2 linked regions of the Saccharomyces cerevisiae S288C genome follow. The protein of the gene in region 1 binds, or shares a complex with, the protein of each later gene. Each region holds a gene or a part of one and is shown in the gene's direction. Other genes may lie near its edges.

Evidence for each region.
Region 2: SPP382 (region 1) and NTR2 share a complex: the UniProt entries of both Saccharomyces cerevisiae proteins name them as parts of the NTR complex.

Annotation. Positions count from the first base shown.
Region 1 is NC_001144.5:969,842-979,930, forward strand, and holds SPP382 (mRNA splicing protein SPP382), read left to right. Parts: upstream 1-3,553; coding exon 3,554-5,680; downstream 5,681-10,089. Other genes in the region: guanine nucleotide exchange factor DCK1, read left to right, coding at 1-1,854; protein kinase regulatory subunit ATG17, read right to left, coding at 2,076-3,329. UniProt on the Saccharomyces cerevisiae protein: Involved in pre-mRNA splicing and spliceosome disassembly. Promotes release of excised lariat intron from the spliceosome by acting as a receptor for PRP43.
Region 2 is NC_001143.9:478,094-486,987, reverse strand, and holds NTR2 (Ntr2p), read left to right. Parts: upstream 1-3,848; coding exon 3,849-4,817; downstream 4,818-8,894. Other genes in the region: DBP7 (putative ATP-dependent RNA helicase), read left to right, coding at 1-1,844; RQT4 (Rqt4p), read right to left, coding at 1,977-3,569; ALY1 (Aly1p), read right to left, coding at 5,007-7,754; VPS51 (Vps51p), read right to left, coding at 8,156-8,650. UniProt on the Saccharomyces cerevisiae protein: Involved in pre-mRNA splicing and spliceosome disassembly. Promotes release of excised lariat intron from the spliceosome by acting as a receptor for PRP43.

The DNA of each region.
Region 1 (10,089 bases):
TTTGGGTCCCTACAACCAGCAGTGAACGCATGTATCCCAGAATTATTCAGCGCATACCAAATCGGGAAGCTTCGTTTGAATGATTACGAATTGGAAAGGTTTGTTTCTTGTTTGTTTTTTATGATGCACGTTCCCGATTCTGACACCTTTTTTCCTGCTTGTATGGATTTCTTAAGAGATTTACTTGGTTTTTTGCATATTGTAAATGAAATCTACAAAATACCTAATCAAGAAGAATTTGATGATGATCGGACTGCTCGGCACATAGAGATGTTCGAGTACTTGCTAGAAGCAAACAGGCCAGAGTTGTTTCATAAAATGATATATGATTTGTTTATCCACTTTATTCAGAAAAAAGACTTTGTTCAAGCAGCTTTGAGTCTAGAACTCTTGGCAGGTACGTACGCTTGGGATTCTAATGATACTCTTGAAGCAATATCTTTCCCGCCATTGCCAGAGCAATCTTCATTTGAGAGGAAGGAATATCTTCTTAAGGAATCCGCAAGAAACTTTTCGAGAGGCCAAAAACCAGAAAAAGCTTTAGCGGTATACAAGGACTTGATAAAAGCCTACGATGAGATCAATTATGATTTAAACGGGCTGGCCTTTGTACATGACCAAATAGCAGGCATTTATACCAGATTACAGTCCATTGATAGACTGGTTCCAACGTATTTTAAAGTTTCTTTCATGGGATTTGGTTTTCCAAAATCATTAAGAAATAAATCGTTCGTCTTTGAGGGTCTCCCATTTGAACACATTACGTCTATGCATGACAGGCTTCTACGAAGCTATCATGGGTCAAATATTGTACACTCACAAGAAGAAGTGGATATGTTATTGATGAATCCTCCAATGGGAAAATACATTCATGTAGCTTCCGTCGAACCGTGCTTAAGTATATCCGATAATTACAACAGTAGTGACAAGAAAAGCTCAATTAACAACAAAGTGCGGATGTACATTGAGAATAGAGATTTGAGGACTTTCAGTAATTCTCGACGTTTGCCAGGCGCAAAAGGAGTCACTGACCTGTGGGTGGAGGAATATACGTATCATACTATGAATACTTTTCCAACACTAATGAATAGATCAGAAATTGTAAAGGTTACGAAGAGCAAACTTTCTCCACTTGAAAATGCAATTCGTTCCTTACAAGTTAAAATACAGGAGTTATATGGGCTTGAAAACATGTGCAATAAAACTCTGAAGGACCACGGTGATGTGAACGATTTATTTACCGAGCTTTCTACAAATATTACGGGAACAATATCAGCTCCAGTTAATGGAGGCATATCACAGTACAAGGCCTTTTTAGAACCCTCCACATCCAAGCAGTTCAGTACTGATGATTTAGGAAGATTGACGCTAGCTTTTGATGAGCTTGTTGCAGTATTAGGTCGCTGTCTAACGTTGCATGCAGAACTACTACCATCAAAGGATCTAAAACCATCACATGATCTTCTAGTGCGTCTTTTTGAGGAAAATTTCGCTGAGGAGATAGAAAGATATAGTCGTACTCTCAGTGAGGCCAATCGTAGCAGGAATAACATGATTACTGCTCGAATAATTTCGCACAAGAACCCCAATAAAAAGGCAAGCTTTTCTGGAAGGGATCATCACACCTCAGGGTCCAATCATAGCCAATTTGTATTAGAACATAGCGACTCATTTGGCCCAAACAGTTTACTTTTTGGAAAATATTTAACAAGAACGTTATCCCACTCGTCCACTACGAGCAGTTTGGATAAAAGTGGAATTGTTTCCGGCACTTCGAGCACCTTTTTGGCAGGGTCACAGCCAAACACCAACACAGATTCACAGCACAAGCATGATTACTCACATTCGGGATAATATGTCAGAAGTTGTTCACTATAAAATATACGCATATGTAATCATTTATTTATTCATTCATGACTTTTAGTTGAAAAGGGCACATTTTTCTTTGTCGTAAAAGTGAAGAAGACAGCGAATTTTTTCCTTTCTCCTTCAAGTATTGCTTTTTTGATAAAGTATTTTTCGAAATATTGATACAATTATTGAATCTTTGTACCGTATCCTTTTTTTCCTTTTTTCTAAGGATTCTTCACGTTGTAATTTAAAGTGTACAGGGAAGAAAAATCGTCAATTTTACCGGGCCAGATTGTCTCAGGAAGATAAGTTCCATTTTCCGCTATAAAATTCTGACGTTCTTCCTGGTCCTGAGCATCTAAATTCTGCAACTGCTTTTCACAATCTTTCAATATAGTTTTCATTCTGTTTGCCACATCCTTTCTCCTCTTTGCTTCTAGAACTAAGTTACCGTAGCTTTCTTCAAAATTATCATAAAATTCACAAAGTTCCTTAGTTGTTTGAATATCTTGTGTACAGGAATTTTTGAAGCTATCAATCAGATTGGAAATATCTTTAAAGATTAATAGATATTCCAAATTTCTATTGAAATCGTTTATTATTTCAGAAACTTCGCTGTGTAGTTCTGTCTTTTCCTTTATTTTTGCCTGCAAAAATTGACCCAAGTTAAGAATTGTTTTGTCCACGTCATCAATTACCTCATGCAGAGTTTTGAAAATGTTGTATAGTTCTTTGTCGTCGCCTTGTACCACCTTAAACAGCTCCTCACGTTCATCGTTATCAATTTTTTTATCTTGTAACAGCAATGTCTTATCAAAGTGCTGTGTCAATGAATTCATTATCTCTGCTAAATCTTTTTCAAGGTCCGTTAGTTCCCTGCTAAACTGCTCTGCAACATTTGTTTCCATCAGGTTATCTATACCAAATTTACTTTGGAATTTTTGAGTTACGTCCGTCAACTTGGTATCAATCAGTTCTTTGTTAACTTTTCTGACCATATTTTCGTATTGAAGCTTAATGTTTTCAATTTGACGCTCAATTACTGGCACTTCTTTCAGTTTGTCATTCAATAAGTTAACGTTGTCTCTCGAGATGTAATCTCCTAGTTTAGAGGGATCGGTATCATCTTTTTCTGATATGCTCAATTCATTTACTATACCATCCAACCTTTGTACTTTAGAAGTGATTTCATATTGCCAGTACTTCATCTCATCAACTAAGACCACTAAGACAGCTTGATTCCATTGTTTCTGGATTAGCTTTGTCCCAATGCCTTCCTTTAAAATAGTGTAAAGAAACTTTCCTTGCTGTCTCAAGCCAACTATTAGAAAATTGAGTTTTGAAATACTCAACTGCCAAGATGACAATTTTTTCTTAATATCTACAATCCTTAAATTAGCACTTGAACATAAAAGTTGAGCATCGGTCAGCGTTTTCCTGGCATTATTAACAAATTTTGTAACATCTGCTTCGTTCATAGGTGTTAAATACGTTGATAATATCCTCGCAGTATCGAATTTATCGTACGTTATGCGACTTTCAAATAATTATCAAGTTAGGGATATCTTGCAATTTTTAATACTGAGGCCTTAGAGCGCGCATCTAGTATTTACATTATGTCAAAACAATAACAAAAATCCAAAATTTCGAAATAGTACAACCGAGAGAGGTCGAAGAACTTAAGCCTTCAGTACGCCAAAACATGGAGGATTCGGACTCCAACACAGATAAAAAGTTCTTTTTCAAAAAAAGAAGAATCGATTCCTATAATTATAGCGATGAGGAAGATAATAATTCAAGCATGAATAGTGACATGACATACACTAATGATGCCTTGAAAACTAGTAGCGGCAATGCCCCAACGATCTCAAAATTAACGAAGACATATGGTATTGGTGCGAAGTTACTTTCGAGTATGGGATATGTTGCGGGAAAAGGCCTTGGGAAGGATGGTTCTGGTATAACTACACCAATAGAAACCCAAAGCCGACCTATGCACAATGCAGGTCTAGGAATGTTTTCAAATACCAACTCCAGTAACTATCACAGTGAAAATGAGGATTACTTGAGCTCTGAGGATGAGGTGGTTGAAGGTATAGAACAAGTCAAATTCAATAAAACCTCCACGGAGGTTTTAGGCGAAGCGTTGTTAAATGATAGTGGTGATATGACTATAGTGCGAACACTGAGAGAATTGAGGTTAGCAGGGGTACAATTACCAGAGAGTATCCTAAAAGAATTAGACCCTTTAAATGCAGTACCAAAGCCGAAAAAAGATGTTGTTGTGGAGATATTGCAAGAGCTGCTGGGTATTGAAAAAAGTTTGGAAGCTATTCGTCAGCGCACCTCTCCGTTAGAAGTGCAAGTCAAAGAATATTATGGACAAGAGAGGCTTCTTTCTGAATTGGAGGTTACTTTGAGGGACGAAAGCAAGCATGTTTCCCTGTATGATAAGATTGGTGCTATTTTAAAATTGTCCGACGACGAGCTCATAGATAGGCTAACGTCCTGCTTATTGAGAAAAGAATTACTAATAGAATTTGATTTGGATCATTTAGAAAAGCCAAACGATATACTTGATGAGTTAACGCAAATTATAGAACTACTCGCATATAGAATGGATACAACTTCGAAATTTTTGAACAGGACACAAACAACAATCTTTAAAGTTATATATCCCAAACTCAAAAAATTTTGGGAAGGGTTTGATATGACTAAATCAAAAATCGACAGCGCTATCACCCTATTACTGGATTTCCAACAAGTGCTAAGTTTTATCGGGTGTAAAGAGCATATCATGGAGGAATTCGTCTATCCAAAGCTATTACAGGAATTAGATAATTGGGAACTTCACGATGAAGTAGACCATGTTTCGCCAAGAATATGGGTCTTGGATTTTATGGTTTTAATTGACGATAAGATCAAAGACACAATTGTGGACAAGATTGAAGCAAAATTTTTTGCTTATTGTAAAAATTGGTACCATAGGGAATCATTTTGTATCACTAATTCTGATATTATATTTATCAAAGAACTTATCTGCGAACGAAGATATTACAAAATTTTATGTAAAGAGTTTCTTCCTAAATTCCTGGACGAGCTGTGGGAAAGACATAATGACCCCATCTACGAGTTAGAGGATTGGAAGGAAAAACAGGAATGGAAAGAAAAAGATTCTGGATTTTTCTATTTTATGAAAAAACTGAGAAGTTATACCCATTATTTTCATCCAAAACAGTATGAATTGATGATGCGGGGAACCTTTAATAATATAAACAAAATACTCTATCAATGGCATCTTTATAGTACAGTGGAAGACTTACACAAGTCAAAGTGGTGGCTTAATTGGCTGATGAATACGGTATTTGAGCACTCTTTACCAACAGAAATAGAACTATCGGAGATCAGAAAAAGCTATAATATATTCGCTATGTCTCATAGGTACCACCTTGATAAATCTACATTAGATGAAGATTTCGATTTGAGACAGGGTTTACGAAACTTAATGGAAACACAAGTGATCGACGATATTAGTCAAAGCGAACAAGAACCTACCTATACTGTACAAAATATTCCGCTTGGAAAAGTTAGCAGCTCTTTCAAGGATGTGGTAGAAGACTACTGCCTGGAAAAAGGGTACTTGATCAGCAAAATACCAAATAGGTACACTCAACTGCCATATGGAAGAGACCAAGATTGTATAGTTCCTTTATTTGAGATCCGAAACGGGAAGAAAAAAATGGAAGTTGCTTTGAAACATGATATTCTTTGGGTGGAGGATTCCAGTGGGACCTTTAAGCCAATTTATTTATGGGCCCTTGACCTCTAGAAAGTACCTATAAAAGAGGTGAGATAGGCACGATTTATATATTATTGTCGAAAAACAAAATTGATTAGATTACTAAATAAATAATAATTGCATTACCATTTTTAGACAATGGATTAATTTAAAGTGGAGTCTATTAATTCCCCTTATTTGATAGTTGTTGGTATTTTGCCCTTGAAATGTTTCCAAAATTTATTGTTTAAACTTTTATACTTCGCTAGACTCTCGTAGTTAGACTGTTAAGAGTTGTGGCAGAAGGAAACGAGTTTCGGATGGGATCAAAGGACCTTTTTTATATCAAGATCAAATGGAGCTGTTATTTTCCAAGAAAGACAGAAGAAAGCCCGAATGTGGCTAAGTAGTGAGCCTAATCAAGTAGTCAGCTTCACTTGATATTAGTTTATACGATTACTATTTTAATGGAGTTTTTAGCTCACTAAATAATTTAATGCAAAAAAAATAAACGACCCCAGTGAGGGTTGAACTCACGATCTTGCGATTAACAGTCGCACGCCTTAACCAACTTGGCCATGGAGTCTTTTATTTCCGATATCTGCTGAGTTAAAAATTATATAATATTATTGATAGCTTCTATCATTGACCTTCAATTACTTATGTTGGAATATCAAAAATGTGAGATTTTTTTTTTCAAATAGTTTTGAAGAATCAGCGAATAATTTGATACTTTTTGGGATTCTTGTTAGTAACGGCTATTGTTGGAGTTAAACTTCTTTAAATTTGTAGAGTATGTGGATTTTGATGTAATTGTTGGGATTCCATTGTGATTAAGGCTATAATATTAGGTATGTAGATATACTAGAAGTTCTCCTCGAGGATTTAGGAATCCATAAAAGGGAATCTGCAATTCTACACAATTCTATAAATATTATTATCATCATTTTATATGTTAATATTCATTGATCCTATTACATTATCAATCCTTGCGTTTCAGCTTCCACTAATTTAGATGACTATTTCTCATCATTTGCGTCATCTTCTAACACCGTATATGATAATATACTAGTAACGTAAATACTAGTTAGTAGATGATAGTTGATTTTTATTCCAACATACCACCCATAATGTAATAGATCTAATGAATCCATTTGTTAGTTAATAGTTTAAATGTTTTTATCGGAAGAGGTTTTGTCATCACATCAGCAATGTTCTTCTTGGTCTCGATGTAGTATACGTATAAATTATTACCTGATACTTCATCTCTAAGTCTCATTGCCTTTGTGCCAAAAAATCTGTTTCTAAATTTCTCTTCATTTATTTCTAGTTCATCCTGGTCTATATAATGACCTGGTTGACCTGGAGCTCTAAGTTTCTTTCCTTTTGGGTTCAAAGGTACGTTTAGTTTGGGTAATTTTTCTGTCAAGGATTTTTCCATACCTAATTTCATGTACTTGCTTCTTTGATATTTGATCTCTAATCCAAGTATGTCGTACTGAATTTCGTTATCACCTTCACCCAGATTTATTATCTTTGTATCGTATTGTTTCTTGAGTGTTGTTATGATTTTCTTATTTGCATTTAAGTCTTTGCTGAATAATATCATATCATCAACGAATAAGCAAATTGTTACTTGACTATTCTTAAATACGCATGACCATCCGCGAACTTCTTGCATGTCGCAACAATTTATTAAATATGATTTAATGGTTTCATACCAGTTTGCACCACTTTGTTTCAAACCATAGAGTGATTTTCTCAAACGTAGTAACTTATCATTCAAACCTAAATGTGGTGGAGGTCTTATGTATAATTCTTCTTTGATATCAGCATATAAGTAAGCAGAGGATATGTCCAGCTGTGTGATATAATAGTCATTGTCTAATGCGATTGACAATGACGTCATCAGTGCATAGTGATGTACGGTATTGGATTGCATATCAGAATCATATGTATCGGGGTGTTGAATGTCGCTTCTTGCAACAAATCTAGCTTTGTGTGTACCATCACGTTTCTTGTTAAATATAAACATTGAGTTTATTACTTTTTTAGGATCTATGTCATTTCTATCATAATATTTGTTTGTATCCCAAGTGTTCATTTTCAATAGTTGGCTAATTTCTTTATGATAAGCTTCAACATATCTGTCTTTTTCTTTGTTGTCTTTATTATATGTAATTGCTTCATCATATCTTAAGGTCGTTCGAACTGGTTTGATCGATTTCACTCCTTTTATTGCTGCAATTAAATTTATGCGTTTCTTCGATCTTGGTGGTTCCAGACTTCTCATATTCTTATTATTCCATGTGTCTCGGGATACCTCAATTTCAGTTTCATTATCTTCTAATGATCTTTTCTTACTTTTGGTAGTAGTCAGAACATTAGAATCATCCATACCACCCAAACTGGAATTAGTCTGACGAGAGTGTATGTGTGGAATATCTTTTGAAACATCAGAAGTGTCCGTAGGAGATTTATGGGTTAAGTCAGGAAGTGGGAGGTCGTCAAGAATAGAATCAGCCGTAACATTTTTTGAGGATTTGTCAGGCATTATATTAGGAGTCGCATGGTCAGAAGATCGATATTCTGGCGGATCCGTATCAATGGAGGGTGTATTATCACATACAGCCTTTGTTTCTATGGAGATGATGGGAGTAGTGGATTCACTGTTGGACGAACGGTCATCTATTGAGGGCGTACTATTTGTAGTCCTGTATTTGATATTTGTATCACTATTTCGTTGAATATATGGTTCCTCCGTACCACCCAAACGTGTAGTTTTGATGTTTTCAAGTCCATAATTAACTCTATCCTGTGAGGTCAAATCAATCATCTCATTGGTACTACCAGGTCGGTTTTGGTTTCGTGCAGTGAAGGTAGACGAGTGTCTAGGTGAAGTAGTATCTGATTCAACGGTACCACCCATTTCGGTACTCTCTTTATTAATGATATGGGGTGTACGAGATCGTATAGTAGATGGAAGAATATTGTATTCAGATATGTCGGCATCAACTTCTTTTGGTGCACGTACTTTTTGGACTGGTTCCTTGTCTAATTGTAAAGGGTTTATTGATTGGGACGAGAAGTCGTTCACTAGAGGATCAGAGTTTATTTCAATCTCCGATTGATAGTCATGATCAGATTCTTTATTTTGATCATATGACTGCTCTGTTTCATTTTGTTCAATAAAAGATTGGTTATGGGCTGTTAAACGATTGAGATCATCATCAAAAGTGAGTGTATCGTAGTCGAACTGGTCCAATTTCGTTTGCTTGTTTTGTAATATAACGTAATTGGTAGTATCTACTGTCTTTTTTAAGGATGGAAGATAGATAATATAGCCATAAGAGTTTCGTGATGGATGTAAGGCGTAACCTGGAATGCCACGAGGATGTATTTTCGAGTCGGGATTATGGTTGTTAACTATAACCGGTTGACCGAAAGGTAGTATAGTAGTAATGTCCAGTCCAGCTAAACCTGCATGTTGTCTTGCAGATTTATCGTTTTTTGGTGAGACTAATGAATTTCTGATTATAGTAGAAAATTCGACTGCTGAGAACCATAGATGATTTGGTAGACCACTGCAATGAAGCAGTGTGCGACAATCGTTTAATAAAGTACGATTTAATCGTTCAGCGACACCGTGTGCTCTAGAATCTGCCGTGGTTGTATAGCATGCAGTAATACCTCTGTTCGTAAAGAACTTATGAAGAGTTTTGTTAGTGTACTCGGAGCCACGATCCATCTGGATAACTAGAACGCGAGCATTGAATTGGTTCTTAATAAATGCTAATATCGATGTAAAAACATTGAGGATAGATTCTTCACGACGGTCGTGTAATGGGTACACCCATTGGAATCTGGTTTTCTCATCTGTAAACGATATAAAGTAAGAAGGTGCACTTTTCGGTAAGTGATGTACAGGACCAAATATATCGGTATGCAAGTACTGAAAAGGCTCATATGATTCTTGGTACTTTAGTCGTGATCCTTTGACATGCCTATGTTTCGTGCTTTTGCCGATTAGACAGTCAGGACATTGATATGTGCTAGCGTTAGACCATTCAATATCCGATTCTTTCAAATATGTAACTGCATTCTTCTTAAGAGACTTCTGAATACTTCGGAAGTTAGCATGTCCAAGCATTCGATGTATTAACGGATATGGATATTTATTTACGCTTTTGCTTTTGTTGACGTTGTTTATTGTTAGCTTTGAAATGTGCGAAGGAATTAGGTATTTTTTAGATAACCAGTAAAAGTCTCCATGTTTGACTATGGGAGCTAGTACTGTACCATCCGATCTTTCTAAAGTGTTTCTGGTAAAGCAGGCAGTAATATTTTGGTTAGCCAGCTCACTCAAACTTAATAGATCATAGGCTATGTTTGGTGTGTGTAGTGCTTTTATTGATGTTTTGGTGCCGTTCTGAAAGTTGAAGTGAAGATTACCAATGGCA
Region 2 (8,894 bases), on another chromosome or scaffold:
AAAACGTTGCCATCAATCCGTCTAACGCGCCCTTGAAAGGTGATCAGTTTGCGTCTTTAGGTGTCTCTAGTCTTCTTGTTTCTCATCTGGAGCAAAAAATGCGTATTAAAAAGCCTACGAGCATCCAGAAGCAGGCCATACCTCAAATAATAGGTAACGCGGGGAAGAACGATTTTTTCATTCACGCCCAAACAGGCTCAGGTAAGACTTTATCGTATCTTTTACCTATAATATCTACTATTTTGAACATGGATACTCATGTTGATCGTACTTCTGGTGCATTTGCATTGGTTATTGCTCCTACACGAGAACTAGCATCACAAATATATCATGTTTGTTCCACGCTTGTGTCATGTTGTCACTACTTGGTCCCATGTTTATTGATTGGTGGAGAACGTAAGAAATCAGAAAAAGCTAGATTGCGTAAGGGTTGCAATTTCATAATCGGTACACCAGGTCGTGTTTTGGATCATTTACAAAATACAAAAGTTATCAAGGAGCAATTGAGTCAATCTCTAAGGTATATCGTATTGGATGAAGGAGATAAGTTAATGGAATTGGGTTTTGATGAGACGATCAGTGAAATTATTAAAATTGTTCACGATATTCCCATCAACTCCGAAAAATTTCCCAAGCTACCGCATAAGTTAGTGCACATGTTATGTAGTGCTACACTTACTGATGGTGTTAATAGGTTAAGAAACGTGGCGTTGAAAGATTACAAATTGATTAGCAACGGTACCAAGAAAGATTCTGATATAGTAACGGTTGCGCCCGATCAACTATTGCAGAGGATTACTATTGTCCCACCAAAGTTGCGTCTTGTAACATTAGCTGCTACTTTGAACAACATTACCAAAGATTTCATCGCTTCCGGTCAACAGTCCAAAACGCTGCGTACAATCGTATTCGTATCATGTTCAGACAGCGTGGAGTTTCATTATGACGCATTTTCAGGAAGTGACGGGCACCATAAAAATCTAACGGGTGATTCTGTAAGACTATTGACAAAAGGAAACACTATGTTTCCTTGTTTTTCAGATTCTAGGGACCCAGATGTAGTGATTTATAAATTGCACGGTTCTTTATCCCAACAAATGAGAACCTCTACATTGCAGCATTTTGCTCGTGATAATGAAGCCACCAAGGGAAAACATCTTATTATGTTCTGTACAGATGTCGCAAGTAGAGGCCTAGACCTTCCCCACGTTGGATCTGTTATTGAGTTGGATCCACCATTTGCTGTTGAAGACCATTTACATAGAGTTGGTCGTACAGCAAGGGCCGGTGAGAAGGGTGAAAGTTTGTTATTTTTACTTCCTGGCGAAGAAGAAAAATATATGGACTATATCCAGCCGTATCATCCGATGGGTTGGGAATTACTGAAATTCGATAAAGAAATACTAATGCCGGCTTTCAAAGATGTGAATGTCAACAGAAATGATAAATTCATTAGAAAAGATGAGAAATCGTCCAAAAATAAAGACGTGGGCGATAAAGAATATGAGTGGGATACCAATGCTACGACATGGCATTTGAATATAGAAAGACGAGTAGTGGGAGATTCCGCATTCAAAAATTTGGCCGTTAAAGGTTTCATTAGTCATGTGAGGGCTTACGCAACGCATATCTCTCAAGAAAAGAAGTTTTTCAACGTGAAGTTCTTACATCTAGGCCATTTAGCTAAAAGTTTTGGGTTACGTGAAAGGCCAAAGGCTATGGGATTGCAAAGTAGTAAGGATGGTAATAGTGAAAAGAAGCCAACTAAGGAAAACTCTAAAAATAAAATGTTTCGTATGGCTCGTATGGCAGAGAAGCAAATAGCAAGTGAGTTTAACTACTAAATAGACAAGAACAAGCATTAATTCATATAAAAAAAAATTGTATACTATGAAGACAAAGAAAATGATAAAATCTACAGAAAATGAATAACGGTTATATCCTCTATCATATATAATATAAACTTTTACCATTCATCAAAGTACAGCAAGAATATTCTGTTCTACTGATGCGTCTGCATTTTGGTCCACTTGTACTCTTGACTTTAAATCATAAGCTTGCATGTCGTGAGCCTTTTCTTCCGTTTTTCTATTCTGTTGTGCAGTATCTGAATTTTTTTTCACATACGTAGGCCTATCGAATTGTTTTTTATCACGTTCGTAATCCCATGCTTTGGACTGTAAATGCAAATTCTCCAAGGATTTCGTTGTATTTATTTCACTTTTCAGAGCGTGTATATGTTTAAGGTCGCTGATATCTTCTTCGTCACTTATATCACTGATGTCATCATCTGAACCTGCAATTACGTTCTCTGTATCCTTAGGGACTTCTGTCATAGTAACTTTACCGTTTGAACCTATATTCATGCTAACAACGTACTTCTCGCGCCTGCCATTCCGTTCCTTTTCTACTTTTTCCCACTTTCTCAAATTACGTTGTTGCTTCTTCAACGCAAGAGCTCTTTCTCTTGCGCTGCCCCATAAACCCACCTCCTGATTCATGTCAAAATCGCTGGCATTATCAATAATTTTTGTTCTTTCTGCCGAAGTGTCTTGGAAATATAAAAGTCTATCTAATCGTTCTTGTGCTGCTAACAACTCCGGGTTTTCCTCAGCTTTATGGTCATGCTCGCTCGCTTGTCTTTCCTTTGCTTCGCTCTCTTCTTTTTCCTCCTGCAATTTCAACACTTCATTACGCTTTCTTTCTCTTTCTCTTTTCCTTTCGATGAAATCAAATAATTTGTCCTGTTCAGCAAATAAATTTTTACCCATACCGGAAGTTATTTTGTAGGTTTTAGTCTTCTTCTTTGGGACATTAGCTCCATTTGACGCATTGGATAAGGACGATGATGAACCGTTTAGTTCGTTTTTTTCCTGATTTAAAATTTCTACCATTTGGGTTCTTTCGTTATCAGAAATCAACTGTTCATGGCAATGACCGCATTTACCTTTATTCAATCCCTCTATAACACAAACCACTTTACCACAGTGAAGACAGTTTGGCGCGATGTCGAAAACTGGATGCCTTGTACCTTGACAATTACAATTTTTAGAAGAACCGCTATCTCGAAGCTCTAGCATCTTGATTGCTTCGTCTATTTCTTGTAACGATTGTAATTTCCCCTTTGATCTGTGCTCTTTTTTCTCCTTTATGGGGTTTGATTGCGTAGATTGATTTGATGGTTGAACGGTAGGCCTCGTTGTCGAGCTTTTCTTCTCATCCTTTAATTTTTTTGGTTTTTCATCTCCCTTCTTATTGATATAGTTATTAGTGGGCTGTTTTGATTCATTTTTCCATGAAGTGGGGGCAGTATGTTCAAGATGCACATTTTTCGTTTTTTTTTCCTCTTTTTTATCATTCTGATTCAATAATTCATTGAACTTCATTACAAATTCAAACGATAGATCTTCATGACCTAGGAACTCCAAAAATTTTGAAGCAATTTGTTCTGGATCATCAGATGATGTACTCAGTACTTGTTCGCACAGCGCTTTTACATCAGACTCTTCCAAAGGCAATATTTGCGGAACTTGTTTGATTGCATAGTCAATAGCCTGCTTTCTTGTCATTATTAATTACTGCAAACCCAAGGTTAAATAATTAAGCCACTGTTTCTCGGACTACGTTCACTTTGCCATTATTTGCTGCTGCCAGGCTCTTTATGCCTCTTTCTTGCTGTATAATATTTCAATATTTGTCCGATACCCGGCAAGCGAAGATCATAAAGAATATCGAAATGAACCTCATAACTGAAAGCAATCATCATAAATTTGTGCTTTGAAGAAGCAATATAACTGGTCGAGTTACGTCAAGTTCTGCCTAGCAATGTTATAGCATTTGAACACATTATGGCGATCAAGAAAAGAAATAAAATTAGGTTACCAAGTGGTTCTCCTGAGGAGGTTGGAATTGATGGTTCTGCGCATAAGCCAATGCAGCAAATTAAGCCCCTAGTGTCGAACGATTCTGAAGATGATGACAACGACATTTGTGTATTACAACCAATAAAGTTTAAAAAAGTTCCTAAGCGCGACATTACCTTTGATGGCGAACAAGCAATAAAGGAGGATAATTCGCATTATGAAGATCTTTACCATTCAAAGAAAAATACCAATGCATCGACGCGAAACAAAGATGATTTGCTAATTCTCAATATGGAGGACTTGATGGAGGGGAATCATCATCTATTAAGTGATTCTTCAGAGGCTGGCAGTAGCTCCGAAGGTGAGCACATTAGTAGTATACCAACCCGAGGAGAAATTGCAAAACTGAAAGCACAGAAGTCATTATCTAGAAGGAAAATTAGTGAGAGTGATGTTACAACAGAAAGAGATTATGTAAAATTGTTGGACAGTGAGGATAAACGCGAAATTATGGAGACAATAAGATTAAATGGTGGTCTGAAACGTAACAATGAAAAGGAGATTACGAACTTCAGTGACGATGAAATGCAAGGCTTTCAAGACGAAATGCTAGCCCTCACGGATAATCAAATTGCTATTCAAAAGGATTCTAAAAGAAAGATTATAGAGAAGGCCATAAATGAAGTGCCCTACAGAACTAATGAAGAATGGGAAACCCAGCTTTTAAGCAAAGGAAATATAAACAAATCGAATGAGAAAATCATCACGCCCTTACCGGTACTTTTCCCAGACGATGATGAAAGTGGGAACAGCATTGAGAGAATAAACGAGATGGTTTCGAAGATCTGCTTGCAAAGGAAGAAGGTTGAGATGAGGTTGCAAGCGTTAGAAAAAACAAAAATTGACTTGGAAAAATCTAAAGCAAGCCTAATAAATAAGCTCATTGGTAACTGAACGTTAATCATGTTATTTTTTTAATCGCTGTACTATTAAAAAGGGATATCTTTACGACAAGTGATATGGATGTATAGATTGATGGTGTATATTTGTATACTATAAAATGTCCAATATATTGTACACTATTGAATCACAGGACACAAAGTAAAATGGTAGCAATTCTGTCGGAGAATGAAAATAATGTACTTATTTTCTCTTTTCGCGAAATGCTTTCTTAAAGTCGTCCAGTACACGGTTTTCACTAGCAACGTTAACCGAGTAGGCTGCTGGGTCAACATGGTTCTTGCTTACCTCCCAATCAAATTTGGAATCTGATGACATTCTTGGATCATAAAATGCTGTAATATCGACTGAAGAATCCACTGTATCTTCTGGATTATCAACTCTGTTATTACTATTGCTGTTTGATTGTATGACGTTATCATTAATTTTAAGTATTGGTAGTTTCTTATTGAAATTTAATGATTGGCTTTTGGGAAAGGCATCTTCGTCACTACTGCCTAGCATCTGGTTTATGTCATTGAAATGCTGATTGTTCTGTCTTATTGTACTAGGTAACACTGATGTTGCGTGTAGACTGGCACGATTTTTTTTTCTCCCATCAAGACTCATGTTTAAAGACTGCAAAATAGGAGTGTGTGAATTAACGTTCTCACTCGGAGCACTGGTTGACAGCTTGAAGTTGAAACCAGATGCTATATCGCCATCATTGTCATCTTCGTCGGATAAGTCATCAATTTGAGACCAACCATTGAATGAGTCCTCCTCAATGCTGGCCAATGTCTCTCTAGATTTGTTTAGTTTTAGTTCAGGAATTTTAGATGAACTTGTATCGTAGTATGGCAATTCAATCCCATCGGCCTTTAATACATCAAAATATGATGGAGGATCCACAGGAATAGCATGAGAATCGGCTGCGCCGCGCTTAGCTAGATCAAAATCAAAATCTGGAGGCGGGGAGTTTGATAATGGTTGGTAATTGAGAATTGGTGAGGTGATGGGCGATAATGGTAACGCCTGAGGAGAAGTTAATTCTCTTGGAATCTGATTGGGCTTATAAATGTTTGCGACCAGCTGTTTGGATGCGAAGACATTGCTACTTTGATCATTCTTCTTGGAGGTATTATCTGACTTGCTTTTCTTTACGCTTTCAGCTCTATTACGCACTACTGGAAGATCAGACGGTATTCTAATGTTCATCTTCTGCACGTTAGGTGAAAGAACGGGAGACGAAAGAACTTCTTTTGGGAAGAAAATATTGGAATCATGATGACTTGCGTAATTTTGTTGATCTGCTGCTGGTGCGAAATTACCATCTTCATCACAATACTGGAAATGACTCTCGTAGCTCGGTAGCAAAGTATTCGCGTGTGAGCATAGTTGATTTAAAATATGGATTGGAGAATCAATACTTATTTCGAAATGTTTTCTATTGTCCCCGTACTTCTTGGAAAGACGAAGGCAAATTTTTATCCAATGGTGGGCTTTGATTTTATCATAATTTGTATCAGGGTGTAACCGTATACTGTTTGTAAACTTGCTTGGGACAAACACCTCGAACTGAAAATCTTTGTTAACTAGATCGCCGGATTTTTCATCCAAGAGGATGTTCCCTCTATTTTTAGCCTTCAAAGGATTCGAACCAGCTGGTATATGAGGCAGTTTAGGACCGTTATGTTCAGCCAACAGAAACTTTTTAGTTGGCTCTAATCTACGAGCCTTCTCGTGATTTCCATTACTATTACAAGTGTATTCCATAGACTCTGTTAGATAAATTCTAATACGATGCAGAGTAACTTTATCTAGAGGAGCGAAATGGAAATCGATGGGTAAAAATGCATTCAAAACGATCTCTTTCGAGAAAATTACCACGTCATAATGAAGAAGATCTTTCCAGTCCTTGGAAATTGCAATAGCTTCAGTCTCTTCTACGGATCCATCAGAAGGAAGCCTTACGACTTTGATGGGTAATTGAGTATGTATAGTTGATTTGAATGCGCCAAACCTCTCTATGTCTATTGACAGTTTATACTCCACGGAACCAAAATTGGCTTTTATACTTTCTGGATAAGATTGCGATATTGGCTGTTCAAAAGTGTAAATATAATCGCCCGGTCGAAAAATAAAAACTTCTTTAGAATCTTTGGATGGTGTAAGATAGTTATCCTCTTGCTCAGGACTTGGAGTAGCGCCACTATTACTGAATGTTTTTGTAAACAAATCAGATATGAAGGTATGAGGTGACAAAGAGTTACCGTGAAAATTTGCCGGTACCGATCCTCTTCGACTAGATGATGGTAATGGTGTCTTTTGAATAGCCAACAGTTTACTGTCGTCATGGGAAACATCACTTGATACTGGCTTGTTACTCAAATTATCGGATGACAATGAGTTGCGCTCATAGGCATCCAGACTTAGATTGCTATTATCTTTAGGGGGTTCAGCGGTTGGTGGGATATATACTGAAGCACCGCTTTTTTCAAGTAGATAATCTTCATCGCTCATAGATGGGCGATTGGACGAATTATTTGAGCTGTGATGTTCTAAGGTGAAAGAATTCATGCCGTCATCCGCCTGATAAAATGGCCATGTGTGATTGACAACAGTTTCAACATCTGAAAATTCTTCTCTCTTCGGTGGTATACCTTCCGGCCACTCTGTTCTGGATATTCCTTTGAAGGTTATCGATATACTTTTTAATTTATTCGGTTTCAACACCCTGACGATAAGAGATCCTCGTAAGATACTGGGGGCTATTTCAGACAGTCCGTTAGTTTCAAATCCTTTTAAAAACACTATGGGTTCGGCAAGCTTTACAAAGACTTGTAGTGTTGTTGTCTGCACCAGTGGGACGGCATCAGGTGCTGCATTTATATCTTGCTCCATGGGAAACACTGGAGCTACAGTATCATTTTCTGTATTGAATTGGAGCATGTAGTCATAGAGGAACAAGCAATATTCTATGGGATTCCAGCGTATTTGTGCGGAATGGAACTTTCTGTTGGTTGTCTTTCTTGTTGCTTGTCTCTTATTTCAACGAGTTGTTCCCATTTTTGATAAGATGGGGATAGCGAAATAAGACAAAAGAGTCAATATTTGGCAATTCGCTCAAAGAGGTAAAAAGACGGCGCTATTATATATCTGCGTATATATACTACAAACAGCCGGGAATACATTTGGCAAAGTCCTCGTACGACAATAGGGCAATTGCTAGTAGTGTTAAGCAGTTTTTCAGGTGAACTTGCAAACCGAAAAAGAGGAAAAATTGGTTCACATAGTAAAATGCACTCTCTCGAAGGAAGTGTTCGGTGAAAGCCACGATATGCCGCTGGAAATTACAGTTCCTTGATTAAAGATTCTACTGTTTGCTTCAACTTGTTAATTTGGTCTTCATTGGCGTTTGTAATTTCTTTGAGAAGGTCGTTGACTTTTATTAGGTCATAATAGTTTTCGTAAATGGTATTCTTGATAGAATTGTTAGTCTCGGTTTCTTTGCCCAAGAGCTTATTGTGAATTTGTACTAGCCTCTTAAAGGGCAGGTTCTTTATCTCTTCTTCTGCATCTTCTGACCCCTCCTTGAGATCCTCTTCAGTTGCACTCAATTCGTCATCTTTCACTGGTTTCTCAGTGTTTGCTTCGGTATCTATATTCACATCTGTGACTTGCTCCTCCCCAGAATGAGCCTCGCTGGCTTTTTCCCCTATACGTGCTTCTTGACGACCTTTATTCGGTTCATTTTCCAAGTTGTAGAATTCTCTTAAGAGCAATCTTCTATCTTTGTTCAGACTGCTCACCCTCAGGGACTTTTTGTGACTAATTTGTTCTGCCATCTGTACTTAATATCCTCGTCAGATTCCGTCTCACCGCAAATACGCCTCTTCTATGCAGAGCCTCACCTATACGTACAACTTACTGCCTCTTGTTTCCACGCAGCGAAAATTCGATGATTTCTCGTATAAAGCATATCGAAGTTGAATCATCACAAAAAGGCCCATTGTGTAATGGACCCTTGCCACAACAACACTCTCGTTGCACAGGTAGAACATACTTTTAAGGCCTGGGTAGATTCATTTT